Saccharomyces cerevisiae S288C: one gene and its partners. The gene in region 1 interacts genetically with each later gene. Each region holds a gene or a part of one and is shown in the gene's direction. Other genes may lie near its edges.

Region 1 (7,682 bases):
GTTCTGCTCTTATTTTGTGACCAATTTCTTTAAGTCATCCAAACCGACCTTGCCACTATTAGATTTGCTTGAATTTTGCGACGTTTCATGATAACATGTCGAGTGGAAATATTTGCCATTCACTTCAATAGTATTTTTCCAAACCCATTCACCAGATTCTTCATCATAAACGCCAGTAACGGTTTCCTTACAAATTGGACATTTGAAGGCCATATCTTGTGAAGTTTCTGGTACAACAACATATTTTCCCCGTATTTCCAACTCGTTACTTCTATCACTTCCTAAAGTGTTGTCTACAGAGCCTTCGTCATTTTCATCAGCGTGAATATTTAGGGCACTTTTATCGATATTTTTATTGGCATGCGGATCAGTATAATCATTTTTATGCTTTGTGGAGGTAATTTCATCATCTTTGAAGGCTGCCCATTGAGAGTCACTCAAATACCAGTTTCTTGATTGAATATTTTTCCTTGTGGTAGTTGTATTTAAGTTAGAGTTGCTTATGCCTGTATTTGCTGTGTTTTGTGATCCCTTAATTCTTGTATTTATTCTGAAATGCCAGTCCAAATGCTCATTTTGTAGTAGTTTTTCACTTTCTGAGTTGCCAAATCTCTTACCACACACGCTACATTTATTTGGCTTGGATCGGTATAATAAGTGAATAAGATTATTTTGGACGATGGGATTTTCTTGAAGAAGAGTTTGTTCGGACAGCTGCAGGGATGGGTTATTCAAAACGTCGATGTTAACCGTGGCAAAATAAGCTTTGCAGTCAGAAAGAATATCATTTAATAAGGGTATCTTTGGCAGGTTCTTCATCAATTGTTTTTCGTGTGAATCAAGAGAGTAGTTTGAGTGTCCATTTAGCTTTTTATAAAGCGTTACGATGGATTCTTTTGGTGGAGTATATATGAGCCCTTCAGCCTTAAGAGATGCATAGAGGTTATTGATTTTGTTTAGGGACTTTTTTTTCTCAATTTCTTGAAAAGATTCAACGCCAGAAATATTACCAAAAAGAGAGGAAGATAAAGAATTCTGTTGGTTCGTTGTATCTGAATTATTTCCAAACAATGGAATCGCTGAATTAGAGTTTTGTGTGTAAGAACCGACCATATCCTTAGTTTCGTGATACTGCTGCTGCTGCTGCTGTTGTTGTTGTTGCTGTTGCTGCTGTTGTTGCTGTTGCTGCTGAAGTTCGTGATACCTCATTCTTTCCTGCAAAACTTGTTGGTCCTGTGAGAAGACCTGCCTTAGTTGCATTTGAACTTGTTTCAGAGCATTGAGAGTTAGTTTTTCTCTTTTCAGTTCTTGTTTCAACTGAGATAAAACCAACAGTTTCATTTTTAATTTTTCATCATTTGGTTGATTCTTTAGCCTTTCACTAGTTAAACAAGTTAATTTATCAATGTCTCTTAATAGGAGGGGAACAGTCGGAGTTGGTAACATTGCTTGCAGGTTTTTCTGGTGGAGAGCACTGGCCTTTATTAAAAACTGTTCAATTTTCTCCAGTGCTGAGCCTTCAAACAGAGGCAGGCCGGTGTCATTAGGATTCAACCAAAGCTTAAACATATTGATGAGTTTTGTTCTTGTGGTGTTGTCCACCAATAAGTATGTTCTTTTGTACAAGTTAAACAAATTTCTACTGAAGTAGATTGTGTATGGGCTGCCAACATTCTTACAAATGGAGTCCAAGGCATAAAAAGCGTATAGCTTCTGCTTAGGCATACATTTTTCAATTCTACTCTCAATGGCGTCAACAAAATATTGAGCACACGAAATGTTTTCTTCTGCTAACTTCGTGAGAGTGGTAATAATGGGTCTCGAGTTAAAAGTTAATTCTTCAAGAATACTGTTGAAATCCTTGACTATAACTTCTGTGTCGTGATCCATAATGAAAAGAGAGTATTACAAATAGACCTAGTGTTTTCAAGTACAGTTTTCTTAACTGCTCCGAAAATTGTCCTGGTAATTCTTTGCAATGCAAAATTGAAAGAGAGACTTTTAAACTACTAAACCCTTAACAGTAGAACAACATTGTCTCATTAATTTTTGAAATTTCGCTTTCTTCCCATGCCTTAGGCCAAGTTCTCATCCAATGCGTCGAGTCCTTAAAAAAAATTCGCCCGGGTAAACTAAAACTTAGATGCACTAGGTAATACCATTTGGTGATAAAGGGAATAAAAAGCAGCAAATCCTAGCTCAATTACGAAACTCTGATCACTTGGGGCCCAGCTTCATTGGCTAAATTGGTGTATCCCTTGAACCGACTACGTAAGTACGTTTTGAAAAGTGTGTAAATCTATGTATAAAAGTACATCAAAAATTAGACTGAGAAAGTTCTGTATAGCTGTACTAATACATTAGGAATAGGCTAGACTTCTTCGCCGCTGGAATAAAACAGCTGGGCCTTCTCTTCATTGGTACCACTTGCTTTGCTCTATTGAAAGTACAAAGAATAGAGCAGACGAGTGTAAACATCCTATCTGCGTTCCAACAGAAGTGCGTATTGAAGTCATCTCATGCTAATGGCCATCTCATGTAGAATAGTAAGGAAAAACGTATCTAATTTATAAAAACTTGAGTTAGATCTCAAACTTCGGTAGATTGCGCCTTATTTAACGGATGATATACACTTATTCTACTGCTCACATTACTCGTTTTACAGGAAAAAATGGTCAATGCGGGCAAAAGAAAAAAATATTGGGCGATATGTTACAAGAAAAGGGTGAGATGGAAATTTATGCTAAACATTAAGTGGAAAAAAACCATATCCATACAATAGAAGTATATATTCTGAATAAAGGGTCAATTAAATTTCACCAAGGAATAAAATATTGTTAAAGAAAGTAACAGGAAGAGAAATCGGATATGCCTGACAATAATACGGAGCAATTGCAGGGATCTCCTTCAAGTGACCAGAGACTGAGGGTTGACTGGGACAACGGTAACCATTTTGACGTCTCTCCCGACAGATACGCGCCTCATCTATCTGAATTTTACCCAATTGTAAATAGTAAAAGACCAGTGGCTAGCAGTGCTGGCTCAGAAAATAACGACCATCTGGACGACATGAACCATTTACGTTCATCCAAAGTGTATTCAAAGGCCCGTCGGGCATCGAGCATAACTTCTGGTACGAGCACAATAAACGACTTGCAAACGCTAATCACAAAGAGAGATGTGAAAGAGACCCAGGAAGCCCTATCGACATTACTCAGGAACTCGAATGCTTATTCGGATTCGTTATTAAAGACATCTCAGAATGGGGCAGAAATTGCCCATTCCTTAGAAAACATTGCCAAGTTGAAGGGTTGCAATGATGAAACGGCGGAGAAACTATTGAGTGCCAGTGGGTTATTCTACCTTTTATCTAATCATCAGCTTATAATGTCAAAGTATTTCAATGACTTGTTGGGAGATAATTTAATTGATGATATTGATGAATTCGAATTACAGACCAAGATAATGGAGAACAAGTTCAAAGCACAAAGCAAAGAGCAAAGTTTAAAATTGAAATTGCAGGAAAGACATAACTTCGATATCTCGAAAAGAAAAATAAGGAATTTAATCTCATACCGAGAGAGCCTTTCTAGCTTGCAAGCAAGGTTAGATCAACTGGAGACACTAAAGCACGATTTTTACATGGATTCATACGAACTTGTGGAAAATACATGCAACAAAGTACTCAGCAAAGTTGCCACGGTATCTAGGGCACAAGTGGAAATTTCTGAAAATATTGCAAGGAAAGGTTGGTCTGGAGGCGGGCTAGACGAACTACTTTGTGATGCAGACGACCCCTTCAGCAAAAAAGCAGATGGGCCATACGGGACCATCGGTGGTGATGGAGAGACTGCTGGAGAAGCATACAACAGCGATGAGGAAACGGGTGGGAATGACGTGGTGCTCAATGAACTACTAGAAGGAACCAGCCAACCTTCCACATCAAAAACATCTTTACCCAAATCCAAGGGGTCCTCAACGGTATCCACACCGAATCATTCACAGTCAAGTTCAAACAAGGACGGGGTACGAAACAATGGCGGCGGCAAAAATGGCGAAGATGAGGATACAGACAATTTGATGGGAACAGAAAATTCATTTTCTTTACCGCCTACGAGAAACTCTGCCGAGGAAACCACACAAACGTTTAAACAATTGTCCATTAAAGAAGATAATGACAATCACAGCAGCGATACGGACGGCATGCAAGACCAGTCAAGTAATATATAAAATTTGTAACTCTATGTATGCTTTTTATATAGAAATGGAGAAAGTGAACAATTGAAGTTATAGTATTTTCGGAGAAATGTTGCATATATACATAGGAAAACGGTTAAAAGGCCCTGCTTCTACCTTCTGTTTCCCCCTCGTTCTTTTCACCAGAACTTGTACCATTTCTTCTCAGAGGAGGCCTGAGATAAATTCTGGTTACTTTGTTCAAACTGACTCTGCTTTTCATTTTTGGCGGCCTCCCATTGCCCCGGCAGAGATGGGTCATGAGGGACATTATGGAGCATTGGTTTTTCCTTTTTCGCCACGGTTTCCTTTGCCAATTGTGCGATCTGGAAACTTTTTTGTCTCTTTAGCCTACATTGCTCCCATCCGACAATCGAGCCCAGTATCAGAGAGCTCATCGCCCAATTCGTGGCCTTAGTCGGGCTCTTATGGTATATAAATATAATAGATCCCATCAAGAACATGCTGGAAAACCCGAGCATGCCCGCGTCTCTGAAGCACGGGATTGAAGTCAGCTTCTGCAAACTAAAATCACTCCATCTGATCGAGTCCCAAGCCTCTTTCAAAGTAGCCCGTTCTTGCTTCTTGGCCAACTGAGAATTGGACAAGTCATCGGCAAACTTGGGTGGAGTGTCTTCTAAGAGGATCTTTTGACCCCGCGAGTAATTTGTCAGCACGCGATCACCATCTGCTTTACCCTGCGGTTGTTGCTGCTGCTTTTGATCTTCTGTCTGATTTGACCACGGCCACCAACGCATCTTTATATTAACTGTTGAGCTGCTCGTTACGCACTGCTGTGGACTTCACTACAATGCTTTACCGAGCAGTGGAGTTTGATATAGTGGTGGTACCCCCGACGGTGCTATAATAAGCTTGCCTGCACGGCTTACCCTACCGCTCGGAAAGGCCGCCTTCGTCGCTCATTGGTCTGCGGCCGCGGGCGCTTTTTGGTCATTGTTCATATATGAAGAAAGAGCAGGAACGGAAATTTTTCATCTTGCCTTGCCCATTGTTCTGATCCATGCGTTGTTAGAAATACAACGTTTGCATCATACCAAACTTCTCCATTCCGTCAGCTGATACTCTATTCGGTTGTGTGTTGCACCCTGCTCTGCTGTCTCTCAACCGTTCTTCCTTTACACGCCTTCCCTTCTCAGCTCGCGTTTCTTTTTTTTTTATCCCACTCTTTTCTTTTTTCTTTCCTATATATTGCCCATATAAGTTTGGTTGGAAGGAAAACTAATAGAGCTAGTTGTTGTCCCTCAATAATCATAACAGTACTTAGGTTTTTTTTTCAGTATGCAACGCTCCATTTTTGCGAGGTTCGGTAACTCCTCTGCCGCTGTTTCCACACTGAATAGGCTGTCCACGACAGCCGCACCACATGCGAAAAATGGCTATGCCACCGCTACTGGTGCTGGTGCCGCTGCTGCCACTGCCACAGCGTCATCAACACATGCAGCAGCAGCAGCAGCCGCTGCTGCCAACCATTCCACCCAGGAGTCGGGTTTCGATTACGAAGGCCTGATAGATTCCGAACTGCAGAAGAAAAGACTTGACAAATCGTACAGATATTTCAACAATATCAACCGATTGGCCAAGGAGTTCCCCCTAGCTCATCGCCAGAGAGAGGCGGACAAGGTCACCGTTTGGTGTTCCAACGACTATTTAGCACTTTCCAAGCACCCTGAGGTATTGGACGCCATGCATAAAACTATCGACAAGTATGGTTGTGGTGCCGGTGGTACAAGAAACATTGCTGGCCATAACATCCCCACTTTGAATCTGGAAGCCGAATTGGCCACTTTACACAAGAAGGAAGGTGCCTTAGTTTTTTCGTCATGTTACGTAGCCAACGATGCCGTCTTATCCCTACTGGGTCAAAAGATGAAGGACTTGGTGATTTTCTCCGACGAACTCAACCATGCGTCCATGATTGTCGGTATTAAGCATGCTAACGTAAAAAAACACATTTTCAAACATAATGACTTGAACGAATTGGAACAACTGCTCCAGTCATACCCCAAATCCGTTCCTAAACTAATTGCTTTCGAATCAGTATATTCTATGGCCGGTTCAGTGGCCGACATAGAAAAAATTTGCGACTTGGCCGACAAATACGGTGCTTTGACCTTCTTGGATGAAGTACATGCGGTCGGCCTGTACGGCCCTCACGGTGCAGGTGTTGCAGAACATTGTGATTTTGAAAGTCACCGTGCAAGTGGTATTGCTACCCCAAAGACCAATGACAAGGGCGGCGCGAAGACTGTGATGGACCGTGTCGACATGATCACCGGCACTTTAGGTAAGTCTTTCGGTAGCGTAGGTGGCTACGTCGCAGCCTCTAGGAAATTGATCGATTGGTTCAGATCGTTTGCACCTGGTTTCATTTTCACCACGACTTTACCACCTTCAGTTATGGCAGGCGCTACCGCAGCAATTAGATACCAACGTTGCCACATCGACCTAAGAACCTCGCAACAGAAACATACCATGTACGTAAAGAAAGCTTTCCATGAGTTGGGCATTCCAGTTATTCCAAATCCTTCTCATATCGTCCCAGTGTTGATTGGTAATGCTGATTTGGCTAAGCAAGCTTCTGACATCTTAATCAATAAGCATCAAATCTACGTACAAGCTATCAACTTCCCTACGGTTGCTCGCGGTACCGAAAGATTGAGAATTACCCCAACGCCAGGTCACACCAACGATTTATCTGACATCTTAATCAATGCAGTTGATGATGTGTTCAATGAGCTACAGTTACCACGTGTCAGAGACTGGGAAAGCCAAGGTGGCTTATTGGGTGTTGGAGAGAGCGGATTTGTGGAAGAGTCTAACTTATGGACATCAAGCCAACTATCTTTAACTAATGACGACTTGAACCCTAATGTTAGAGACCCCATCGTTAAACAACTAGAGGTTTCTAGTGGTATCAAGCAGTAAAACAACCAATATATGCATGGGCTGAGATAGAGGTACAAGGAATTTGTAAATCAGTAAAAAAAAAAATTAACAGTTTTTTTTTTTCATTTTTTTTTTTTATTCTTATTTATGTATGATACTTTATTATTATTTCTCTTAATTATTTATTTATTTAACTAACACGATGAGCACTTTTAACTGCAATGGTTAAACTGTAGCAATGTTGGTAAAAAAGCAGGGAAAGTTCAAAAATAATTTATGTATTTTTCCTCGGGGGTACAGAAAGTAAAGAGAGAGAAACGTATGAGTATATATAGGCTAATGTAATATGTAGTGGTAAATAAAGAGACAAAAGTTAGCTATTCTTGTTTGAAATGAAAAAAAAAAAGCACTCAAGCGTTGTTTTTTTCCAATTCATTTTGCAAGTTTTTTGTACTTTTCTTCAATTCATTAGACAATTCATCGACGTTAAATTCTTGGGTAGTGGAAGGTTCGTGTTGTGGAACTTCTGGCATAACTTG
Region 2 (7,254 bases), on another chromosome or scaffold:
CTGATGGAAACTGCTGGACATACTTTTGCTAAAGTTGGTACTAGACCTTTAAATAGACCTTGATAACCTTCCCTTTCTAGCGTCTTTAACAAAACATCTTTAAAGCCGTTATACACATAAGGATGTGCATATGTTCCTTGGGCTTGTAGTCTTGTTCTTAAAAGATTGATTGGATAAACAACAGAAGCTCCTACAGTTCCACTGAATGCACCCATTGGAAGTACAACCAGGTTGCTTAGAGTGACCTGATCTTGTGGTAGGTTCAGGGTCTTTGCCTGTTTGGCAATATACCATTTTTTTAAGGCAGAAAAAGTCCCCAAATCTAATGCAGCATAGGGAAATATGCCCACTATACCGACTGTGACACCTCTGTAAAATAATCTGACCCCCCCCCTCTCGAAACATATCTTTTGCAGTCTGAAAGAGCAAATTATTCCCCTTCAACTTTGTGTCCAAAGGAGCGCACTGCACCCTGAATTTCAAAGTATCTATAGGATAAACGGAAAACTGAGCTGCCATACCAGCTAAACCACCAGCAATGTAAGTAGAGAACTTTGAAAGATCTTTTGTGTCGCGGCAGCCTTCTAATTTGGTCATTATTTTCTTGGTGACCTCGAAAGAACCAAACTTTATCGAACTTTCTGGAAAAACTTTGATGACGTTTAAACCGTTCCCAACATAAAAAGCCTTTATCCCGCCTTGCCTATATAAGCTTTTGACAGCCTTTGCTAATGGAGATGATATCTTGTTTATGTCAGCATTGGGGTTTTTAGCAAGGAGATCTGTTTTTGAATTTAACAAGATCGAGGATAGATCCGTTCTTGCGATGAGAAACACTTTCAGTCTATCAAATGGCGCGGTACAAGTCCTTGAAATAACACCTGAAATACCACCAGCAATAAAAAACCCGAACCCGCGAATGAAATCGTTTATGAGAGTAACATCTCCCTCTGAGGACAGATCGACATCTTCGTTGAATAGGTAAAAATAGGAATAAGCAGTATGAAGTCTCGAACCCTGCTTTCTCGGTACCAGCAGCAAAAAGTCTCTCCATTGATCATATGTAACGTATAAATCTGAGTCGGTGGTTTTCTTTGACCGATCATTATCAGTATTCTTTTTGTGGCTAGCCTGGCCTCGTAGCGCAATGTTGGCTTTTCTCTTTGGAAACGCCCATTCAAAAAACCTCGAGAATTTGTTCATCTTTTCATTTGAAAGTTCATGATTAAGTTCATTATTACATATGCTCTGGTTGTCGAGGTCTGACAAATACCTATTTATTTCGTTAATGCCAATCTTACCGTCATGATCTAAATCTATCCTCTGGAAGCCGTTCCAAATTTGAGATTCGGCATTGGAAGCATACTTCTTGAAATCGCTTAAATCAACTACAGAGTCCTTGTTAACATCCATTGCAGTAAACAGCATTTTGATTGCCTCATCATTTCCCTTGAGCGGATGGTCGTTCTTCTCAAAAGCACTTATCAGATTATCTAGAGTAACTTGACCATTTCCCTTAACATCAAGTTCCTTGAACAAACACGCATACCGTATATCTCGCTGCTTGTCCGTCTCGCAATTTTTCAGCAGCATTTAGACCGTCATTCGATTGAATTAAACGTTATTTGCCCCTTCAAATATTCAATATTTCCCATCGCTAATAAAAAAGCTGCATTTTTATTTATTACTTTTTAAATATCATATTTGACGATCGTGTAGGACCCCTATGATTTAACATATCAAGAATGAATGAAAAGAACGTCAGAAACACAAGGTTAATTGCCTGTTATAATCAGACGATTGTAATATAACCATAGAGTTAGTGGGTATTGGAAAGGCCGGTAAAGATAACAGGGATCTCTGAAAAATGCCCAAGTTGGAACAATTTGAAATAAAAAAATACTGGCAAATCTTCTCGGGTTTGAAACCAATAGAGAATAAGGTAAACCATGACCAGGTTTTACCAATTCTTTATAATTCCAAATTAGATTCATCGGTTCTAAACAAGATTTGGTTTTTAGCTGATATTGATGACGACGACAATTTAGACTTTGAGGAATTTGTAATTTGCATGAGATTAATATTTGATATGGTTAATAAAAACATTAGCTCTGTTCCAGATGAATTGCCTGATTGGTTGATTCCAGGGAGTAAGGTGAATCTAATCAAAGAAAGAAAGAAGCGCAAGCAAATAGAAAACGCAGACTTGCCTCCAAAGAAGGAAATCAAAGTAGATTGGTACATGTCTCCAGATGATTTGAATCAATATGAAAAAATTTATAATAGCTGTGCAAAACTAACCGATGGTACTATTACATTCAACGAACTGTCAACAAAACTTTCCACAAAATTTTTTAACATCAGTAAGACAGATTTAAATAAGGTTTGGAGTTTAATTAACCCACAAAATTTGCCATCAATTGATAGAGATCCTACTTTTTATTTTATTCACTGTTTAAGACAAAGAAATGATTTGGGTGCTGAAATTCCAGCAAGTTTACCAAATTCTCTGGCGGAGGTGTGCAATAAAAAACAACTGAGCTATGATTTACGGTCCTCTCAACCTCCTACAAAGAGAAAAGAAGAAGCTAACGAAGTGGACAATCTGCGTGACAATGGGCAGAACTCGAGTTCCGATAGCAGTGGCAGTAACGTGCTTTCAAATGAAGACAGTATAAAGCAAAAATATGCTTCTCTGACAGATGATCAAGTTGCGAACATGAGAGAACAATTAGAAGGCCTTTTGAACTACAAAAAGAGTGAAAAAACTCAAGGAGGCTCAAAACTTTCTAAGCGGATTAACATCAGGTCGATAACTGATGACTTGGATAACATTGAACAGCAGGTTGAAGTATTGGAGAATTACTTGAACAATAAGAGACACGAATTGCAAGCATTACAAGCAGAAATCAATTGACACCGATAATTAATTTTATGTACATGAATGTGTAATATTTACTGTTTGTTATTTCACTTGTAAACTTTTTTGATTTGAACTTCAATCTATCCAGTAACGGTGTGGTGTATACTTATTTTTTCCTTTTCTTCTCTGCCGGAATTTCATAAAATTTTTACTGTTCAGCGTTCTTTACATATTTATATAATAGAATATGTCATATAAAGAAACAGTGACTTAGTTTCTGTTTTACTTTTTTTCTCCTATTTCTACCGTGATTTTGATTAGTTTTTTCTTTAATTGTTGCTATTCACTGTGCTTGTGTTAAATCTTGATGATGGTACTTGAACCCTCTGAATAATGATAATATACCTCTTTACAGTAACTATCTTTCTTTATTGGGTGCTTTTTAAATAGTTCCACTATTTCCATCATACTCATTCTCACGCTTCAGCTAGATAGAGCTGTTGTAGTAAACTCAACTGCTTTAGTGAATAATTTAAACACGTTTTCATCGATTAATTTCGCAGCATTTAGCTCCTGCATGACTTTTGAAATTTCAAGAAGAAATCTATGGGATTCGACAAACTGTTCATCAAGATTTGGTGTGGATTTGTAAGTGTTGAATTCAGTAGCAACTAAAGACAATGCATCATTCTTGGCATTACCATTGTGAAGATATTTTTGTAAGAAAAACTCCCACATCATAGCCATTATAGTATTTGGGGAATCTAATTTGAACGGTAAATATCTAACAATCTTTCTTGCCCAACCAAAGTTATCAAGTGATAATCTATTAAACTCGCCAGAAGTTAAAGATGAGATCAAAACGGCTTCAAAAAGTTCATTTAAATTTTCCTTTATGAAAGAAAGATGATCTCTAAAGATCAAAGTTTTCTTATCAATTGGTCCGTGGTAATTTGATGGCTTTTGGTCCACTTGAAATAAAGTTAATACACGCGTAATCAATAGGACGTACAATGATTCTTCAGGATATGAACGAAGAGTGGCTTGAGATAGGGCTGAGGGAGCCGGTGGTTGAACTTCTTCGTCAAGTTTTAAGACATCGCATTTCAAAAATACCAAAAAGATAATAACTGATTCGTGATACTTACTGTCAATATTGAGCTCATTTAATTTTAAGAATACCTCACCCCATCTCGTAGGCTCTAGCAGTTTTTCCTTGAAATCAAAAGTGAAGAACTCCAATAGTACTAGTAATCTTAAGAAATTGGTCGACAATAAATTAAATGGTGAGTTTAATTTGGATTCGATTGGTACGGAGTTTGGGAAAATGACTTTTTCAGATATAAAATCTTTCGCCATATTGCTAGAACCATTTATTGTTGTAATGAACTCAGAGATAGAAAATTCCTTTTCATCAGACGTTTCTGTTTTAACAATTAAGTGGTTGATAGTTTCAAACATAGAAGGTGACATCCTGTTGGTCAAAGTGGTAGGCTCATTTGCCGCATACCACTTGACTTGTTTAATTTGTTTAATCTGATAGTATCTGTTAATTGGTTGAGTTAATAAATTGATTTCTTTATTCTTGAAGATTTCAACGGACTTGGAAACCAGTTTCTTGTAGGATGTAGAAGATCCTCCGCCCAATGGAGGCTCTTCAGGATAAACTCCTGTGACAATTGCGTCAAATAATTTTCCAGTAACCAGTCCTATGGATCTATAGAAATAGTATTCATGAGGTAACATTTGGCCGATAAAATCATGAACATCATTAGGAATATCTCTTGGTTTTCTAACCTCTTTAGTGCTGGATTTTTCATAAGTTAACTTTTCACTAGCGTTCTTAGTCACGGTGGTAGCAGGAGAAGCACTAGATGACGCAGAAGATGGTGAGGAAAGATTACTCTTTTTTCCATCCTTGTTATTCTTTTCACTGTCCTCCTCTGAAACAACGATCTCTTGAACAAATAATTCAACTTTACCTGTATCTTTCAAGACTGGCATGTATCTTAATGCAGAAATACCTCTTTGGTAGTTTTGAATATTCTCTTTGGAGTCATTTTGTAAGGTTGTAGATAGTTGATAGGCATAGAAGTTTGTACCTGTATTCAAAACCATTTCTAGAGCAATATCAAACAGCTGAGGAACTGGATAAATTTGCAATGGTGGTAAAGTTGTTGGTTGCAAATCATTACCTACAGCCATAGCAATATCGATAAACTCTTCATGGGTACAACCTAAATCCTTCATCACTCTTGACCTGTCAATGAATCGAAATTCTTTATTTGGAAATTCCATACCCAAAATGAACCTATCAACACAATCTAGCATCAAACAATCAGTTGGGCCGTAGATCGCATCAATATAAGCGCTATTCAATAAATATGCTAGTTGAAACCAAGAGGAGTAAGGAGCCACTTGGTACATATACCCATGCTCAATAAAATAAGCGATCAAATCGTTTTGGTAAGCTTTGGAGTCAATTGTGGTGTTATGTCTGAATGGCTCTTGGGGTTGAATAGGCTGGTCAATATAGGAATTCTGATTCGAACTAATCAAGTTGTTCCATTGTGTCCAGCCTCTACTTCTCTGCAAAAGAACGGATTCCGTGTTGGATCTTGTTGTGGCATTGGTACCGCTGCTGGAAGTAGTGGTTGACGAAATCGACGCAGAAGCAGATGCTGCAGTAAAATGGCCCGATGCCTCTAATTGGTTGTAAGTCAAACCACCATTAAAGACAAAAATAGGGGTAATATTGAAATCCTTGAATATCTTTAAGTCGCTTTCCAAATACATTTTTAAACTGGTAGGGAAACCACCAATGGCATCCAAATACTGTTCTCTTTTATTGGTCAACAATCTGGAAACATAATGGTTGACGTCTATATCCAGGGTACAATTATTCAGAGCCTCAATGGCATAGGATCCTACTAGACCTCTTTCGAAAAGGAACGATTCCAATGACTTGATTGCCATCGCTTAATTTGCTATTAATTTTTCTGCCTTTAGTACTTTATAGTTCAAAATATCTGAATTTTTGTTATGAATAAATAAAGAGAGTGAAACAGTCTTTATCAGTCAGTCACGCTAAAATAGTTAATGGACAAATTTGGTAATAAATGATTGTAATTTACCAATGTGATTTTTTGTTTTCAAGGTTATAAAGAATTTAAAAGGAAAGGCAAAAAACAAAAAATAGACCAGATATAAGCGAGACAGTTATTTCTTTAATGTAGTTCAATGGTTATTACGTTAATGTTAATATAATAACAATAATAATTAAACAGTCGAGCTGACAAGCTAGAATAACTCTAGCGTGCTACGTTCTTGCTTTCCAGATTTTCCACCATTTTTCGTCTTGTTCTTAATATCGTTTCTCACGGTAGTATTATAAGTACACTGTCGATGCCATCTACGAATGGGTAAAAGGAATCGAAGATTATGCTATACATGTGTATGTTTACTTAGTTGTTGAGGGCTCTAGCATTCCCCTGAAGCTCCTCGTATCTTTGTGAGAGAATGCGCACACGGGCAGATAAGTCAGCCAGTTTATCCATGGTTGGTTTGAATGGTTCTGGGTCATAAAGGACTTGACCTTCTCTTCGAAGTTTATCGCGAACCTTCCGAAGCATAAGGATGAGTAGTGCTTGCGACTCGCGTAATTCATTGATCGATTGATACAGTCCGTCTAAATCGGTGGACAATACTGAATACACCGACAGTTCAACTGGATGGACGCCAGTGCCGTCAGCGCTTATACTATCCCCTGCCATTGCAAAATCCTCTTTCTTCTAAATACTAATGAGACTATATCTACAGTTCTTTTTTCTGGAAATATTGGTGGTGTTTTAACTGTTGATGAGCTGTTTTGGTGGTTTAGCCTCCGTTCTTATTTTAAGTTCTACTTCTACGGTTTTTTTCGCTCAGTCATTCTTCCTACTTAACACTGGAAATGAACAAAACGCTAAGTAGTTTCCCATTTAAGAACACACATAAAAGTACACATTTGTTACAATTTACATACGTAGTAATAAAGAAAAGTACTATAGTAGCACTCGGCATGGTTGAGTTGTTAAGATTGATTTCTCTTTTCTTTTTTTGCTCGTACATTGCGGCATCAAGATGATTTCGTGACACATACTCTTTACCATCGATAGAATTATTGCTTCTCTTCGGATTTTTTGTCCCCAGTGGTTGTAGACTTCTTGCCACCAAAGACTCCGGCCTTTACTTTATCAATTGTTCCTAATCCGGTGCTTACAACATTGGTTCCTAAGGCGAAAACTGTAGAACCAGCTTTGATGCCTGTACCTAATCCTTTCGTGGCAAAATTTCCAAGCCCGGCTTCACGTTTGACTACATTGGTAGTATAGCGGGGTTCAAACTCAAAT
Region 3 (10,317 bases), on another chromosome or scaffold:
ACATCTGAGACGACCAATTGCTTAATGATCATTGGCGATGCTGACTTAGTCTACGTAACAAATTCTCGAGCAATGTCTCACTTCAAAATTTGCCTAAGCAACATTTCGTCCAAAGAAATAGTGCCCGTTCTCAATGTAAACCAGGCCACGATATTTGATATTGATCAAGTCGGATCGTTAAGTACTTTCCCATTTGTATATAAATATTTATGACCTTCTGCAGGCTCGATATTTTATAAGTGTGAGAGAGTTAGAATATCTTCGTTTATCTACATATATAAAGGGAAGGGTTTGGAATATTTTACCGATAAGTACTCCTCTAGAGAAACAAAAAGGGGGTTATTAAACTTCATTCTTCTTTAAACTTTTCAGCGACTTCTAAAACCTCCTTTTTGGCGTCATTTACACTAACTTCTGGTGATATCTTAACTCTTTTGAATTTTAACTTCCCATCAACAAAAATGAAATGCGATCTAATAGAACCAGAAAGTGGCGTTTTTTTGGCTCCTAGCAACCCAATAAACTCTCTCTTTGGATCGCTTAGTAAATGATATGGCAAATTTTGTTTACTCTGAAACTTTTTCTGGGATGTCACAGAATCTGCACTCAGTCCAAAGACAGCAGCATATTTCTTGAGTTCCTGGTAATTGTCACGAAATCCACAGGCCTGTCTAGTACAACCAGGCGTGCTTGCCCTGGGATACACAAAAAACACCACAACTCTGTTATTTTCGGTGATTTTCTTCAAGGAGATAGAGTCATTATCTTCATTTAAAAGACTCAAATCAGGAATAGGATCGCCTATCTCTAATTCGTTAACATCAGATGACCTATTTGCCTCTTGAACTACTGCTTGATTAGCGTTATGTTTAGGACCCGTCTTGATTTTCTTCTTAGGCACTTCCGGTGTCGAAATAGGGGCCAGTTTGGACTCTTCCTCTTCCAACATTCTTTTGGATATTGCAATCCTGGTTGATCTACGTAGTGCTTCACCCATTCTATTAAGGAACTTTAATATTACCTGTATAAAGCTCGTAGTATTACTTCATCCAGTGGATGTAATAACAATGATATTTCTCTTCCCTTTTCTATATCTTTTTTTTCTCGACGGCTGCTACATGGCACAGCCGTCTGTGGATTTCATGCTCTTGCTCGAACATTCCTTTTTTTAATGTACAGCCAAGTGTACATTACAAGAGTAAAGAAAAAAGTGTGAAGAGAAAGCAAATTAAGTTTGTATTATCTAGGAGACAGTATATTAAAATAGGATACTAATATTCAAAAAGTGTATATTTGTTTTTTTACATATAACATTTTATAATTTATCATTAATAAGTGACAATCATAAGAGCATAGCAGCGGCACCGGCAATAGCGGCACCAACACCAGCGGAGAAGAAGCCCATGTCCATAGCTGCACCAGCGTTCTTGGAGGTAGCAGAGGAGGAGCTATTAGTAGATTTTTCTGCAGAAGAGGAGGCCTTTGCAGAAGAGGAAGCTGCAGAAGAGGCCTTGGAAGAAGCAGATGAAGCAGCAGATGAAGCAGCAGAAGAGCCAGAAGACTTGGCAGAGCTAGAAGACTTAGCAGCTTCAGAAGCAGAAGAGGAGGCAGCAGAAGAAGATTCTGAAGCAGAGGAAGAAGCAGCTGAAGAGGATTCAGAAGCAGAAGAGGAGGCAGCTGAAGAGGATTCAGAAGCAGAAGAAGAAGCAGCTGAAGAGGATTCAGAAGCAGAAGAAGCGTCTGAGGAAGCAGTGGCAGATTCGGAACCAGATTCGGAAACGGTTTGACCTAAGGAGGTAATACTGATACCCGCGCTTTGTAAAGCAGCGATGATTTCAGGTTCCAGTCTAGAAGAGTACCAAGGCACTTGAACCATGGCAGTGGTGATTTGAGCAAAGTCCATTTCGGTGAAATAACTGGTGTAGGAATCATCAGTAGCAGTGGTCATATGTTGGTAAACATCCAAAACACCAGATGGTAGGGTAAAGTCTGGATTATTCATTGCCAAGGACATATATTGTTCCAAATTGGCCTTGACATCAGCCAAAATAGCGTCAAATTCGACGATTTCATATTGTCCAACTTCAGCAGAAACCAATTGAGTGGAGGCAGCGGCAACAGCTAATAAGGCAGCGATTTTAGTGAAAGACATTGTTGTGTGTGGGCGGTTGAACAATTGGATCTGGGGAACACTAAAAAGAAAAAATCAAACAACCAGCAAGAAAATCTGCAGTAGAGAAAGGAAGAGGAGACGAAACGCTTATACTCTCCACCAAAGAATATATGTATATATATATTCATATGTACGTATACTGCCTTCTCAGACGGAAATCTGCAATCCATTCTAGGGCCTTCTAAAAAAAAGCCTACAGAAATCATGGTAAACAGGAACAATGGGTCGCCTTAAGGCACGCATATCTAAGAAACGTGTGCAGAAGCGGTAGGGTACACGTTCCTATCGTTCCATTTGGAGTCTACACACGTTTCCAACCTCTGCCTTCAGTCACAGTTTCTGAGTAACCTCGCTTACAAAAGAAATTTTTTTTCCCGCAAGGCGAAGTACGCCTCGTATAAGGCCAATGTCTCGTATGGGTGATGTAGGGCAGAAGCCAATGTCTCGTTCAAATGAAATAATGAGCTAATTAGGCTCCAAGTTTTACCACCTATCTGACGATTCTCTCTCTGCGTATAAGAAAAATGTTGAAAAAGCAACATTTTGCGCCAGGAAAAAAGCCCAATCATGGAAGTGGTGCAATACACATTCCAACTTACACACCGAGATTCTCCTGTCGTTATATTTCCACTTTGACGCCCCTTTATGCATCTTACTAATATTAGCTGTTCGAAGTACAGCTTACCTAGGCACATGTACTTTATCTCTCGAATTTTCCTGCTCAGTTTCTCCTACTCAAGTCTCTCCTAGTCTCTAAGGGAAGGCACCGTCTAGGACAGTGCCGGGCATCCTTTATGCAAGGGATATCCCCCCGCAGCCTTCTCCGTCCGTTTTCGTTTAGGCACTTCGCACAGAATTCACCGCAGAGAAGCGCCACATAGACGGCCACTTTTGTTTCCTACAACTTCCACTCTATCGTTTGGGGCCCGTGCCTTCGACTTTTACTCCATTGTGCTGCGGTTTTTGTTTGGCCTCGAACTTTTCCTGTCTGCGGATCTCCTGGTTTGGAAACAAGCTTTCCTCCATAGGCAAAATGGATACTACGGTACGAAGTATTTTCCGCAGATCCTGCTCTCACCTATATAAAACAACATACAACATCGTAAAGCTCTCTGCTCTTTTAGCTATTAATAGTATTATCACACACTTAAACCCTTTTCTCATTAGTTCGTAAACGGGTTGGTAAAAAGAACTTGCATACTGTAGCAAAAAAATTCACAACTAAACACGATAGAGTAAAATTAGAGAAGCAACGCCTCGCGGATGTCTCTTTCCAAATATTTTAATCCAATTCCTGACGCTTCAGTCACCTTTGATGGGGCTACCGTTCAATTGGAAGAATCCCTCGGTGCTGTTCAGAACGATGAAGAGTCCGCATCGGAATTCAAAAACGTAGGCCATTTAGAAATTAGTGATATCACTTTTCGTGCTAATGAAGGTGAAGTCGTCTTAGTACTGGGAAACCCAACATCAGCGCTCTTCAAAGGTCTATTCCATGGTCACAAGCATCTGAAATACTCGCCTGAAGGGTCTATTAGATTCAAAGACAATGAGTACAAACAGTTTGCTTCCAAATGCCCCCATCAGATCATTTATAATAACGAACAAGATATTCACTTCCCGTATCTGACGGTGGAGCAAACCATTGATTTTGCGTTGAGTTGTAAGTTTCACATTCCCAAGCAAGAGCGTATTGAAATGAGAGACGAGTTATTAAAAGAGTTCGGACTGTCGCACGTAAAGAAGACGTATGTGGGTAATGACTACGTTCGTGGTGTTTCTGGAGGTGAAAGGAAACGTATCTCCATTATAGAAACGTTTATTGCCAATGGGTCTGTTTACTTATGGGACAACTCGACGAAGGGTTTGGACTCTGCCACCGCCCTAGAATTTCTTTCCATTACCCAAAAGATGGCAAAAGCTACAAGATCGGTGAATTTTGTTAAAATTTCTCAAGCAAGCGACAAAATTGTCAGCAAGTTTGACAAGATTCTTATGTTAGGTGATTCCTTCCAGGTGTTTTACGGAACCATGGAGGAGTGTTTAACCCATTTTCATGACACCTTACAGATAAAAAAAAACCCTAACGATTGTATTATTGAATATTTAACATCAATCTTAAATTTTAAGTTCAAGGAAACGTCTAATTCCATTGTTGGTCTTGACACTCCATCTGTTGTTTCTGAAGAAAATCAAGCTTTAAACATCAATAATGAAACAGATTTGCATACATTATGGATTCAGTCTCCATACTATAAACACTGGAAGGCCATCACTTCAAAAACAGTGCAAGAATGCACCAGAAAAGATGTTAATCCGGATGATATCTCCCCCATTTTTAGTATTCCGCTAAAGACGCAACTGAAAACGTGCACTGTAAGAGCTTTCGAAAGAATCATTGGTGACAGAAACTACTTGATTTCTCAATTTGTTTCTGTTGTGGTGCAGTCTTTGGTTATTGGGTCCCTTTTTTATAACATTCCCCTGACAACAATTGGTTCGTTTTCTAGAGGATCTTTAACTTTCTTTTCCATCCTATTCTTTACATTTCTTTCTCTCGCCGACATGCCTGCTTCCTTTCAAAGGCAACCCGTCGTTCGTAAACATGTCCAGCTCCATTTTTATTATAATTGGGTGGAAACTTTAGCAACAAATTTTTTCGATTGCTGCTCTAAATTTATACTGGTGGTTATTTTTACAATCATACTTTACTTTTTGGCCCATTTACAGTACAATGCAGCTAGGTTTTTCATCTTTTTGCTTTTCCTTTCCGTCTATAATTTTTGCATGGTGTCACTATTTGCATTAACTGCTTTGATCGCTCCAACTCTATCAATGGCAAACCTATTGGCCGGTATCTTACTGTTAGCCATTGCCATGTACGCGTCCTATGTTATTTATATGAAAGATATGCATCCATGGTTCATATGGATTGCATATTTGAATCCTGCTATGTTTGCCATGGAAGCCATTTTGAGTAACGAATTGTTTAACCTGAAACTAGACTGTCATGAAAGTATTATTCCCAGAGGTGAATATTATGACAATATTTCATTCAGTCATAAAGCTTGTGCCTGGCAAGGCGCTACCCTAGGTAACGATTACGTCAGAGGCCGTGATTATTTAAAAAGTGGATTGAAATACACTTACCATCACGTGTGGAGAAATTTCGGTATTATCATTGGGTTTCTGTGTTTCTTCCTATTTTGCTCTTTACTAGCAGCGGAATATATCACGCCTCTGTTTACTAGAGAAAATTTATTGCGCTGGAATAACTATCTCAAAAGATACTGTCCCTTTCTGAATAGCCAAAAAAAGAATAATAAAAGCGCTATTACCAACAACGATGGCGTATGTACTCCCAAGACCCCGATAGCCAATTTTTCCACTTCATCCTCTTCTGTTCCATCAGTCTCGCATCAATACGATACTGATTACAATATTAAACATCCAGATGAAACTGTTAACAATCATACTAAGGAATCCGTAGCTATGGAAACGCAAAAGCACGTCATCTCCTGGAAAAATATCAATTATACCATTGGAGACAAAAAATTGATCAACGACGCTTCTGGATATATAAGTTCCGGATTAACTGCCCTAATGGGTGAATCTGGTGCTGGTAAGACAACTTTGTTGAATGTCTTGTCTCAAAGGACCGAAAGCGGGGTTGTTACCGGTGAATTATTAATCGATGGACAGCCCTTAACGAATATTGATGCATTCAGAAGAAGTATAGGGTTCGTTCAACAGCAAGATGTTCATTTAGAGCTCTTAACTGTGAGAGAGTCTTTGGAAATTTCCTGCGTCCTAAGAGGTGATGGGGATAGAGACTATTTAGGAGTTGTTAGCAACCTATTAAGATTGCCTTCGGAAAAACTGGTTGCTGATTTATCTCCAACTCAAAGAAAATTATTATCTATTGGTGTTGAATTGGTCACTAAGCCTTCTCTGTTGTTATTCCTAGATGAACCTACTTCAGGGCTAGACGCCGAAGCAGCTTTAACCATCGTGCAATTTCTGAAAAAGCTTTCGATGCAAGGTCAGGCTATCTTATGTACTATTCATCAGCCTAGCAAAAGTGTCATCAGCTATTTTGATAACATCTATTTACTAAAAAGAGGTGGTGAGTGTGTCTATTTTGGTTCATTACCTAATGCCTGTGACTATTTTGTAGCTCACGATAGACGCCTAACATTTGACAGAGAAATGGATAATCCGGCTGATTTCGTTATTGACGTTGTTGGTAGCGGAAGTACAAATATTCCAATGGATGATGCAGAGAAGCCAACCTCAAGCAAAATTGATGAGCCAGTATCTTACCATAAGCAATCTGATTCAATTAACTGGGCAGAACTCTGGCAATCCTCTCCAGAAAAAGTGCGGGTTGCTGATGATTTGCTTTTATTAGAAGAAGAAGCCCGGAAATCTGGTGTTGATTTCACTACGTCCGTATGGAGTCCGCCTTCGTATATGGAACAAATAAAGTTAATCACAAAGAGACAGTACATTTGTACCAAGAGAGACATGACCTATGTTTTCGCTAAATATGCTTTGAATGCTGGCGCTGGACTATTCATTGGATTTTCATTTTGGAGGACAAAGCATAATATCAACGGTCTGCAAGATGCTATTTTCTTGTGCTTCATGATGCTTTGTGTTTCCTCCCCTTTGATCAATCAGGTTCAAGATAAGGCTTTGCAATCTAAAGAAGTATATATCGCCAGGGAAGCGAGATCTAATACTTATCATTGGACCGTTCTTTTGATTGCTCAAACTATTGTTGAATTACCATTAGCCATTTCCAGTTCTACCTTATTTTTCCTGTGTTGCTACTTCTGTTGCGGTTTCGAAACCTCTGCCCGTGTAGCTGGTGTCTTTTACTTGAATTATATTTTATTTTCCATGTATTATTTGTCATTTGGGTTGTGGCTTCTATATTCTGCCCCCGATTTACAAACTGCCGCTGTCTTTGTTGCCTTCCTCTATAGTTTCACAGCTTCATTCTGTGGCGTTATGCAACCATACTCGTTATTCCCAAGATTTTGGACATTCATGTACAGGGTTTCACCATACACGTATTTCATTGAAACTTTCGTAAGCTTACTTCTCCATGACAGAGAAGTAAACTGCTCGACAAGTGAAATGGTACCAAGCCAACCTGTAATGGGTCAAACCTGCGGTCAGTTTATGAAACCCTTTATTGATGAATTTGGTGGGAAACTGCACATCAATAACACATACACCGTCTGCGCCTACTGCATGTACACTGTTGGGGATGACTTCCTTGCTCAAGAAAATATGAGTTATCATCACAGATGGAGAAATTTTGGTTTTGAATGGGTTTTCGTTTGCTTTAACATTGCCGCCATGTTTGTGGGCTTCTACCTAACCTACATCAAAAAAATTTGGCCTTCTGTGATTGATGGTATAAAGAAGTGTATCCCATCAATGAGGCGGTCCAAAACATCTCATAATCCAAACGAACAAAGCGTATAATCAGTGAATAGCGTTCCGTTAGAAAACATTCAAAATTACCTAATACTATTCAACAGTTCTTGTTCCTCATCCGGCTGCCTTCTGCTTTAAACTAATTGTTAATTTATTCCCAAATCATATTCTAAATTAATCTATAATCATTTTTCGGATTATATATGCTCCATACTTAATAAATATTAATACTCTCATTTCCTTTTCACTTTTTTTTTTCTCAATTAGCATTCCAGGTTCGAGAAATATCATTGATATATCGTAATTCCTTTTCAGTAAACGTGATTAGACGACCTTCGTCAAGTTCAGAGTTTGTGTGTCCGTCACCCGTAGCATATGCACAATACATATAATTAGAACATTCCTTGATTTGCATCCATGGATGAACAGAAACGTCAGGAACGATTAGTCCCTCTACGTTCAACGAAGCATCATATATCCTTTTTAATTTTGAAATGTCCCCATATCTACTCTTAAAATACTCTGGCTCTCTTCCAAAGTCATCTTCAGCACTGTTCGAAATTTTACAAGTCTTCAGTCCACCGTTTACCCATAGTAATCGATTTTTGGAGTCACTGTGTGCAATCTGCGTAGAACAAATGTAGTACATCCCGCTTTTATGTCCGTCATCATTTTCAGGCTCTTCATTAACAGGTCCAATAATACTGCCATCAACGGGATTGATAGAATAATCCTGGCCAGCATATAATTGCCCCAACCAGAATATTTCCTTGTCACCATACACACACCTCTGCAATTTTCCATCCAAATTTAACATAAAAGACATCAACAATCCATTTAATTTCTCAAGTTTATTGACTACAACCAAACCACTATCAACATGATGGAGTCGTAATTTTTTGAAAAAATTGTAATACACAGATGCTTCTTCTGAGGTTTCGGAAGAAAACGGTAATGACGAATCAAAAACTAACCTACTTCCAATAAATCTGCGTTCTTGTGCAGAGGGTTCCACTTCATTTAACATTTCGATGCAGTATTGGAAAGTTTGCTCGTTTTCCATAACCCTATCCTTGAACAAAAGTATCCCGCTCTCCCTGTAAGAAGGAGAGTCGAAAAAGTAATCAGACCCTACAAACGGTACTACGTCTGCATCCAACAAAATGTATTCTTCAAATGTGTTGAACAAAGTGGCGACCCATTTATTCTGAAAAAAAGAAATGTATGTATTAGCAAAATTAGTGTCAAGCACTGTCGAGCAGTCTACTAAGTAGACCCTTTGTTCCGTTTCTTTAGCGGTCTCAGAAATTTTAGCAATAGACTCTGCTGATAGTTCATTTCCCGTGGATACTATTTGGAATGGTAATTCGTTTTTTGAAAATTCCATCACTTTCAACTGTTTCAAAAATAAAGGAACATCCTTTTCAGCAATAGTTAAAACAAAACCTCTTCCTTTGCTCAACCTATTCCAGTTGGACCAAAAGTTACCATTAAAGTTTGATGATTCCATATCAACCTCGGGTGCCGGAACTGCCTCTCCAGTTGTCATGTCTGTGATAATAGGCCACATTACAGTTTTGGATTCCTCGTTAATTTTCTTCAGAAATGGAAACATTCTGTTTTGCAAATCATGAGGATTTACGGTTGAATTTGCAAATATTGCAGTAGGATCTAATTGACCAGATAAAAAGCAATAATCATAAGATCTTAATCTTTCCCCTAACAATGAGGCCAACGTGTTATCTACACCATCAACATTATAAAATTTTGCAGTTTGCGCATTGTCCCAGTCGGGATCAATCTTGTATAGTACTTCAAAAATGTAACGGCACTTGTCACTCTTCGCTATTTCATTATTTCCTAATTGCCTCAACAATACACGTTCTTTGTGAGAACTTCTACTCAAAAAGGGCAAAAAGTAGGCAGATAATCTGTTCATTAAGTTTTCGGATCTCACTTGGTGTTGTCGTTTTTCAATCCAATTGAATGCAGATGATTCAACAGCTGTCCTCTCGCTTGCATGGTTGTTTAATTTATTGGATGATGTAACATTCCGACTGGCAGAGAAAATGAGATAAGAAAAGAATAAAGAGAGCAGCAGTGTTACTAATCGTTTTAAGATTAGTCTTCTGGATTTTAATGATTTAAGCATGCTTAGGGAAATAGTTTTAGTAGACTGTCTTTAATTCCTTAACACCCCTCCTCGTACTCATGTGATGGAGAAAGGAATTTGATCAGTTCCAGAGGCACAATTTAAGTACTAAGACAAACAATGATACCAAATTAAAGAGTAGATTATTGCCACTTTTTGCGTGTAAATCAGAATAATTCCTCTTCAAAATTTTTTTAGACGAGATCATTAAGGTAATTTGCATTGTCGATACTTCTTCATTCTTCCGTATTTGAAAAAGATTCTCTTTCAAAGAAAAAAAATTGCTTCCAATCGGATTTGAACCGATGATCTCCACATTACTAGTGTGGCGCCTTACCAACTTGGCCATAGAAGCTCGTATTTTACGGTAGATGAGATTATCGCATAAAGGATATCATTTAAAATGTGGTTGCAAACAGCTTCCAAACATTTACTCGACTGCTTCTTACAAGTAGCTATGCACAAATTATGTACTATTTTAATGAGACAACAGAGCTAAAGGCAGAAAGTAGAAAAAAGTTCAAAAATTGAAGTTTAAGGC
Region 4 (7,086 bases), on another chromosome or scaffold:
TATGTACATTCGTCCGGAAGTTCTTTAGCCCTGGGTGAATTGTCTTCAAACTCCTCTATATTTTCGAAATCTAGGAGGAATTTGGCCGCCATGAGTGGTCCTGATTCTTTGAGTAGTTCTAAAAACCAATCCAGTGCTTCGCTTCTTTCTCAAACTTCACATCCATCAAAGAGCTTTTCAAGACCGCCAACAGACTTAAGTCCTCTGCGAAGAATCATGCCTTCTGTAAACACAGGAGACATGGAAATTTCAAGGACAGTATCCGTTTCGAGCAGTTCATCATCACTCACTTCTGTTACGTATGATGACACCGCGGCTAAAGACATGGGCATGGGAATATTTTTTGATAGGCCACCTGTAACACAGAAAGCTTGCAGGAGCAATCATAAGTACAAGGTTAATGCTGTTAGCAGAGGGAGACAACATGAAAGGGCACAATTTCATATATCTGGAGATGATGAGGACAGTAACGTTCACCGCCAAGAATCAAGAGCATCCAACACAAGTCCCAATGTATCATTGCCTCCGATAAAGAGCATTTTGCGACAAATTGATAATTTCAACAGTGCTCCTTCTTACTTCAGTAAATAAACAAGCAGTAAATAAAACGTATAGAATATAAGAAGGAAAATAACAATGGGTTCTTGAAACTTGATATACTTTTTCCTGGAATGAAGACGCAAAGAAAACCTTTGGAGAAAATCATTGCAAATTTAAAAGCTGTGCTTCAAAAAACCCATGTGAGACTGAAACATGGTCCAGTGGTCTTCATCCGGACCGGTTCAAAGTCCTGCTCTACCTTCAATAATTTGTCTTTACCGTTAAAACACAGGCCACGCTATTTTTTTTGTTGCACTAATTTTCATCCTTAAGCGACCAATTTGCTCCCCTTTGGAAAAGCTCACGAAAAAACGTGGCAAAGAAAACAATACCGATCTCGTAGGATTTGGGCCACTGTTGTAATCGCAAGTAGAGAGCATCCTAGATAAGAGCTACTATATTTTGTATAAGGTCGTTTCCTGCACAATAATAAATTATCTACACTGAAATATGGCTGGCGACAACCCTGAAAACAAGGATGCTTCCATGTTAGATGTCAGTGACGCAGCTAGCAACACTACGATTAATGGTAAACATAGCGCCGATTCAACTAATGAGGCTTCCCTGGCGTACACTTTTTCTCAAATGAACGTAGATAATCCTAATGAATTAGAGCCTCAGCATCCTTTAAGACATAAATCGAGTTTAATTTTTAACGACGATGATGACGATGAAATACCTCCATATTCAAACCATGCGGAAAATGGTTCTGGGGAGACCTTTGATTCTGATGATGATATCGATGCTAGCAGCTCGAGTAGTATCGACAGCAACGAAGGCGATATCCACGATGCAGATATGACAGGAAATACCTTGCAAAAAATGGATTATCAACCATCTCAGCAGCCTGACTCACTTCAAAATCAAGGCTTTCAACAGCAACAAGAACAGCAACAGGGCACTGTGGAAGGCAAGAAAGGAAGAGCTATGATGTTTCCAGTTGACATCACTTGGCAACAGGGGGGTAATAAAGTGTACGTTACTGGGTCTTTTACGGGATGGAGAAAGATGATCGGGTTAGTACCAGTCCCTGGACAGCCTGGACTTATGCATGTAAAATTACAGCTGCCTCCAGGTACTCATCGTTTCAGATTTATTGTTGACAATGAGTTAAGATTCAGTGATTATTTACCTACCGCAACCGACCAAATGGGAAACTTCGTCAACTATATGGAAGTGAGCGCACCGCCTGATTGGGGCAATGAACCTCAGCAGCATCTGGCTGAAAAAAAAGCGAATCATGTAGATGATAGCAAATTGAGTAAGAGACCTATGAGCGCTCGCTCGAGAATCGCATTGGAGATAGAAAAGGAACCAGATGACATGGGCGATGGTTACACTCGTTTTCACGATGAGACCCCCGCTAAACCTAATTTAGAGTACACTCAAGATATACCTGCTGTGTTCACCGACCCAAATGTAATGGAACAATATTATTTGACACTTGATCAGCAGCAAAATAATCACCAAAATATGGCCTGGTTGACTCCTCCACAACTGCCACCTCATTTAGAAAACGTCATTTTGAATAGTTACTCAAACGCGCAAACTGATAATACGTCTGGCGCCCTTCCCATTCCGAACCATGTTATATTGAACCATCTGGCGACAAGCAGTATTAAGCATAATACATTATGTGTCGCATCCATTGTTAGGTATAAACAAAAATACGTGACCCAAATACTGTATACACCATTGCAATAGATATGATTATAGAGCTTATAGCTACATCTTTTTAGATAAAAGCGAAGATGTTTCTGCGATTTTTCCATTATAGCTCTCCATGATACTAAATATCAAGGTCTACATGTAAGTATTTGTATATATGGGTTGGAATGTATATACGTATATACGTACGTACGTACGTATATGCACATAATTGTTACGGGATGTATATATAAATTAGTAGCATTATAGAAGATATCCCTAACATCAATCCCCACTCCTTCTCAATGTGTGCAGACTTCTGTGCCAGACACTGAATATATATCAGTAATTGGTCAAAATCACTTTGAACGTTCACACGGCACCCTCACGCCTTTGAGCTTTCACATGGACCCATCTAAAGATGAAGATCCGTATTTTATAGGAAACATTATAAATAAGGAAAGAGAGATACACCTATTTTTTTCATTTTGTGGGTGATTGTCATTTTTAGTTGTCTATTTGATTCAATCAAAAAACAAAAATAAAACTATATATTAAAAAATGGTTGAATCAGATGAAGATTTCGCACCTCAAGAATTCCCACACACGGACACAGACGTTATCGTAAATGAACACAGAGACGAAAATGACGGGTATGCCTCAGATGAAGTTGGTGGCACATTAAGCAGAAGGGCCTCAAGTATATTTTCTATAAATACAACTCCATTGGCCCCCCCTAATGCTACTGATATCCAAAAATTTACAAGTGACGAACATCATTTCAGCATGATGAGGAATTTGCATATGGCAGATTACATTACTATGCTGAATGGATTTTCTGGGTTTTACTCTATTGTAAGTTGTCTGAGATTTACGCTTACAGGTAAACCTCATTACGTCCAGCGTGCCCATTTCTTTATTTTATTGGGTATGTGTTTCGATTTCCTTGACGGGAGAGTAGCACGTCTGAGAAATAGGTCTTCCTTAATGGGTCAAGAACTGGACTCTTTGGCCGACTTGGTTTCCTTTGGTGTGGCTCCGGCTGCAATTGCTTTTGCCATTGGATTTCAAACTACATTCGATGTCATGATTTTATCTTTCTTTGTCCTTTGCGGCTTAGCGAGATTAGCAAGGTTTAATGTCACCGTTGCTCAATTACCCAAAGATTCTAGCACAGGTAAATCTAAATATTTTGAGGGATTGCCTATGCCAACCACTCTAGCTTTGGTGTTGGGTATGGCATATTGTGTCAGAAAGGGTTTAATTTTTGATAACATCCCATTCGGCATTTTTAGAGAAGACCAAATATTGGAATTTCATCCAATTATTCTAGTATTTTTTATCCATGGGTGTGGAATGATTTCGAAGAGCTTGAAAATTCCAAAGCCATAGTAGTTTTTGTTCATGCCTGGCGTCAAAAAAAATTTGTACATATAACTTTTTATTCTACTTTTATATGCTGGTCTAAATATTACTCAATTCTTGCCAGCTGGTATAAAATTATAATTCGCTCTCATGATCACCACATCTGACTATGGTTACAAAATTACCTGTGCCTACAGCTTCACACGACATTCTTTGTATATTAAGAATATAAAAAATAAATATGCCATCTCCTAGAATCGAACCAGGGTTTCATCGGCCACAACGATGTGTACTAACCACTATACTAAGATGGCGAACTTATATAAAATAAAACCTTTTCAAGGTTATATATACTCAATAGATACTGAATAATTTTGGAGCTTCATTATCTTTGTGCAATTGTCTCCATGTACAAACCACCGATAAGATTTAGTGTAGAGTATGTTGGGTGTAAAAAAAGAAAGGCAGTTTATTGACTACTGGTGTAACTAGACGATAAAGGTTTGAGAGGTTTTCATGGCATCAATGGGAAATAAATGAGTTCGAGAACTATGAGATAAATATTTGCTTAATATTATCGCGTTTAGTAATTTTTTCTTAAAAATACGTAAAACATGTTAAATATACAGTTGAATACTATGTAAGAAGGAAAAAAAAAGAAAGAAAACGTTATAAAAAGAGAATAAAGATCATCAATGTCATTACGCATCAATGTATATGAGCATATTGCAATAACCAGAAGTGTCAGTTTCCCTTCCTCCTAGCCCGTTTCTTATCTTCACTTTCTTTCAGATTAATTATGAAATTTTTGTCTTTGCAGTGGTTTTATTGGTTCCTTAAGCGATGGGTTCCAATGTAGTACCCTTTTTAATGGTTGCCCAACCAATCAAACGCCAATGCTTTTCGATACGTCTCGACAAAGCAATCTTCTCGTTAATTTCAGTACAAGCGGGCGACGTTAACTGTAATCTTGCCATATCAGCTTTAACGGCAACCACACGAGCCCCCGTAGCGGTAGAACCAATGTTGACCATAAGAACTTCATTTGGCTCTAATTTTCTGACTTTGGCTTGCTTTTGACCATCTGTTTTGACACCTAATAGACGACGTAGCAAAAAGTAGTTGATTTCGATATCAGTATAAATGTTTGGCAAATGACCCTTAGCACCGACGACTTGACCGACAAGACGATCAGCTCTACACAAGGTAGGATCAACTTTAGTACCAACACCAATCAGACCACCGGGAACAGCAAACTTCAAGTCATTTTGTTCGGCAAATAAGGAGACAATGTTAGAAAAGATTGGTTTACATTGAATTTTACCCTTATCATCCTTGGTGACAATACCTGGTCTAATCTCAATTTCATCACCTAATTTGAAAACACCATTCAAAATAGAACCACCGGCAACACCACCTTTCAGGTCCTCGATTTCAGCACCTGGCTTATTAACATCAAATGAACGAATAACAATTAACCTTGGAGAAATCATAAAATCTCTTGGTGGTACGGGAATAGTCTTGACAATAAATTCATTAACTGCGTCGATGTTATACTTCAACTGAGCGGATATTGGTACAATAGGAGCACCGTCAGCAATGGTACCTCTGATGAACTTCAAGATGGATTTTTGGTGTTCTAAGGCACTTTCTTCACGCATTAAATCGACCTTATTCTGTAAGATGATGACGTGCTTTAATTTCATGATTTCAATGGCAGCTAAATGCTCTGAGGTTTGAGGTTGTGGACAAGATTCATTACCTGCAATCAACAGTAACGCAGCATCCATAACAGCAGCACCTGATAACATAGTACTCATTAAGATATCGTGACCGGGACAGTCAACAAAAGAAACGTGACGGACCAATTTGTAACGCCCCGGACAACCTGGTCTTTGACATTTAGGACTGATTTCTTTATCAGATTTGAATGATCTATAACAATCAGGTTCGGGACATGTAGGCTCTTGACATTTATAAATTTTAGCATTAGCGTAACCTAACTTAATAGTAATGTTACGTTCTAATTCATCCTTAAAACGGACTGTTTGGACACCTGAAATAGCCCTAACTACTGTGGATTTACCGTGGGCGACATGACCGATGGTACCGATGTTTATTGTAGCTTGCCTGTTGATAATTTCGGCGGATAGTGGGTTTAATTTTGAAAAATCAGGGTTTAATGGTTGTTCGGGCAAACCACCACCTTCTTCAAATTCCCTTTTCCTTTTTTCTTCTTCAGTTTCCCCGTCTTCTTCCAAGCCAGTGAAGGCGACTTTCTTCTTTGGCTTATCAGCATCTTGTGTTTCTTGTGTTTCTTGAGCTACAACTTCCGTTTCTTCAACGATATCTGGTTCACCAACTGGTTCCAAATTACCGTTGATAATAATGCTAGGTTCTTGGTCTTGTAAGTCACTCATGTCTACCTCTAATGCGCGATGTTAACGGTGTATTACGCTCTTTCCGCCCTCTTTGCTTAGCTCCTGGTACAGGTCGAGATGAAATCTCTGTCTTTTGTACTGATGATCAGCATCGGGCTATTCTATGAAAATTTTTTCAATGGCAAATCTGGTCCGGGTTACTGACATGAGAGCAAATAATAAGCATAAATTAAAGCATATTGATATACTTCATATAACAAGTATATATCACATCACGCCAAGCTTACGCATAATGCTAGTAATAAATAGATAAACAAAGAGCGTTCTTATTGATCTAAGGTCGCCACCTTTCTACCCACACGACTGCGGTCAAAATCAATATCGAATCTTGAGTTGATGACGTTACGTTTCTTGGAATTTAGAGATGTAGCTGAAGATGCCGAAGAGGATGTGCCATCAGCATTGCCAGCAACTATTTCAATATCTGTCTCATCATCTGCTTCCAACCCATTACTTGCCACTTCCCGCGGTTGGATCTGTAAAATTTCATGGCCTGTATTTAATTTTTCCTTTTCTGTGGGAACGGAAACTGCGGAACTTGAATGATCATTGTCTGCGCTCATGGTCAAGCCATTGAAGGTTTTCTGCAAATTCTTCATCGATGGTGTTTTAGATATATTCCTACTGTCAATGTGGCCTTCCAAATCGAAAAACCCGCCATACCTGTTCAAATTTACCTGTGATGAAGAAGATGTTTTGCGGGAGCCATTGACTGTATGGCCGTTACGTTTCGGAGGATTATTGACTGCATTGTCCATTTCATACAATTTATCGACCACTGGACTGATCTTCACGCCAGTTTTATTATGAGAAGTGCCGCGTGACATCCTCCAGTAGGAACGAATTTCGCCTAACACCCAACTTAACATAAACATTAACCTGTCACCCTGTCGAAATTGCGATGTCACGGTCAAATCTACTTGATCATCTTTAATGATGTACCCTATTCCAAAGCCATGAGGTACAGCAGGAGTTATACCAAATGTCGTGGTAGCAGCATTACCACAGTTGGCAACAATCAACTCAGGCTGTG

Evidence for each region.
Region 2: of HEM1 (region 1) and END3, changing one enhances a phenotype caused by changing the other (phenotypic enhancement), as found in Saccharomyces cerevisiae (one study listed by BioGRID).
Region 3: mutations in HEM1 (region 1) and PDR11 impair growth when combined (synthetic growth defect), as found in Saccharomyces cerevisiae (one study listed by BioGRID).
Region 4: of HEM1 (region 1) and CHO1, changing one suppresses a phenotype caused by changing the other (phenotypic suppression), as found in Saccharomyces cerevisiae (one study listed by BioGRID).

Annotation. Positions count from the first base shown.
Region 1 is NC_001136.10:921,917-929,598, forward strand, and holds HEM1 (5-aminolevulinate synthase), read left to right. Parts: upstream 1-5,535; coding exon 5,536-7,182; downstream 7,183-7,682. Other genes in the region: PCF11 (Pcf11p), read right to left, coding at 10-1,890; IVY1 (Ivy1p), read left to right, coding at 2,869-4,230; COX20 (Cox20p), read right to left, coding at 4,377-4,994; RTN1 (Rtn1p), read right to left, coding at 7,554-7,682. UniProt on the Saccharomyces cerevisiae protein: Catalyzes the synthesis of 5-aminolevulinate (ALA) from succinyl-CoA and glycine, the first and rate-limiting step in heme biosynthesis.
Region 2 is NC_001146.8:465,716-472,969, reverse strand, and holds END3 (End3p), read left to right. Parts: upstream 1-1,867; coding exon 1,868-2,917; downstream 2,918-7,254. Other genes in the region: Ca(2+)-binding ATP:ADP antiporter SAL1, read right to left, coding at 109-1,593; MKT1 (Mkt1p), read right to left, coding at 3,347-5,839; SNN1 (Snn1p), read right to left, coding at 6,328-6,636; TCB2 (tricalbin), read right to left, coding at 7,023-7,254. UniProt on the Saccharomyces cerevisiae protein: Component of the PAN1 actin cytoskeleton-regulatory complex required for the internalization of endosomes during actin-coupled endocytosis. The complex links the site of endocytosis to the cell membrane-associated actin cytoskeleton.
Region 3 is NC_001141.2:325,562-335,878, reverse strand, and holds PDR11 (ATP-binding cassette multidrug transporter PDR11), read left to right. Parts: upstream 1-3,436; coding exon 3,437-7,672; downstream 7,673-10,317. Other genes in the region: thioredoxin peroxidase DOT5, read right to left, coding at 350-997; TIR3 (Tir3p), read right to left, coding at 1,343-2,152; YIL012W (uncharacterized protein), read right to left, coding at 2,527-2,868; alpha-1,3-mannosyltransferase MNT3, read right to left, coding at 7,884-9,776. UniProt on the Saccharomyces cerevisiae protein: Transporter involved in the uptake of sterol.
Region 4 is NC_001137.3:204,197-211,282, reverse strand, and holds CHO1 (CDP-diacylglycerol-serine O-phosphatidyltransferase), read left to right. Parts: upstream 1-2,808; coding exon 2,809-3,639; downstream 3,640-7,086. Other genes in the region: MIG3 (Mig3p), read left to right, coding at 1-591; GAL83 (Gal83p), read left to right, coding at 1,051-2,304; GCD11 (translation initiation factor eIF2 subunit gamma), read right to left, coding at 4,449-6,032; carnitine O-acetyltransferase YAT2, read right to left, coding at 6,320-7,086. UniProt on the Saccharomyces cerevisiae protein: Catalyzes the synthesis of phosphatidylserine (PtdSer).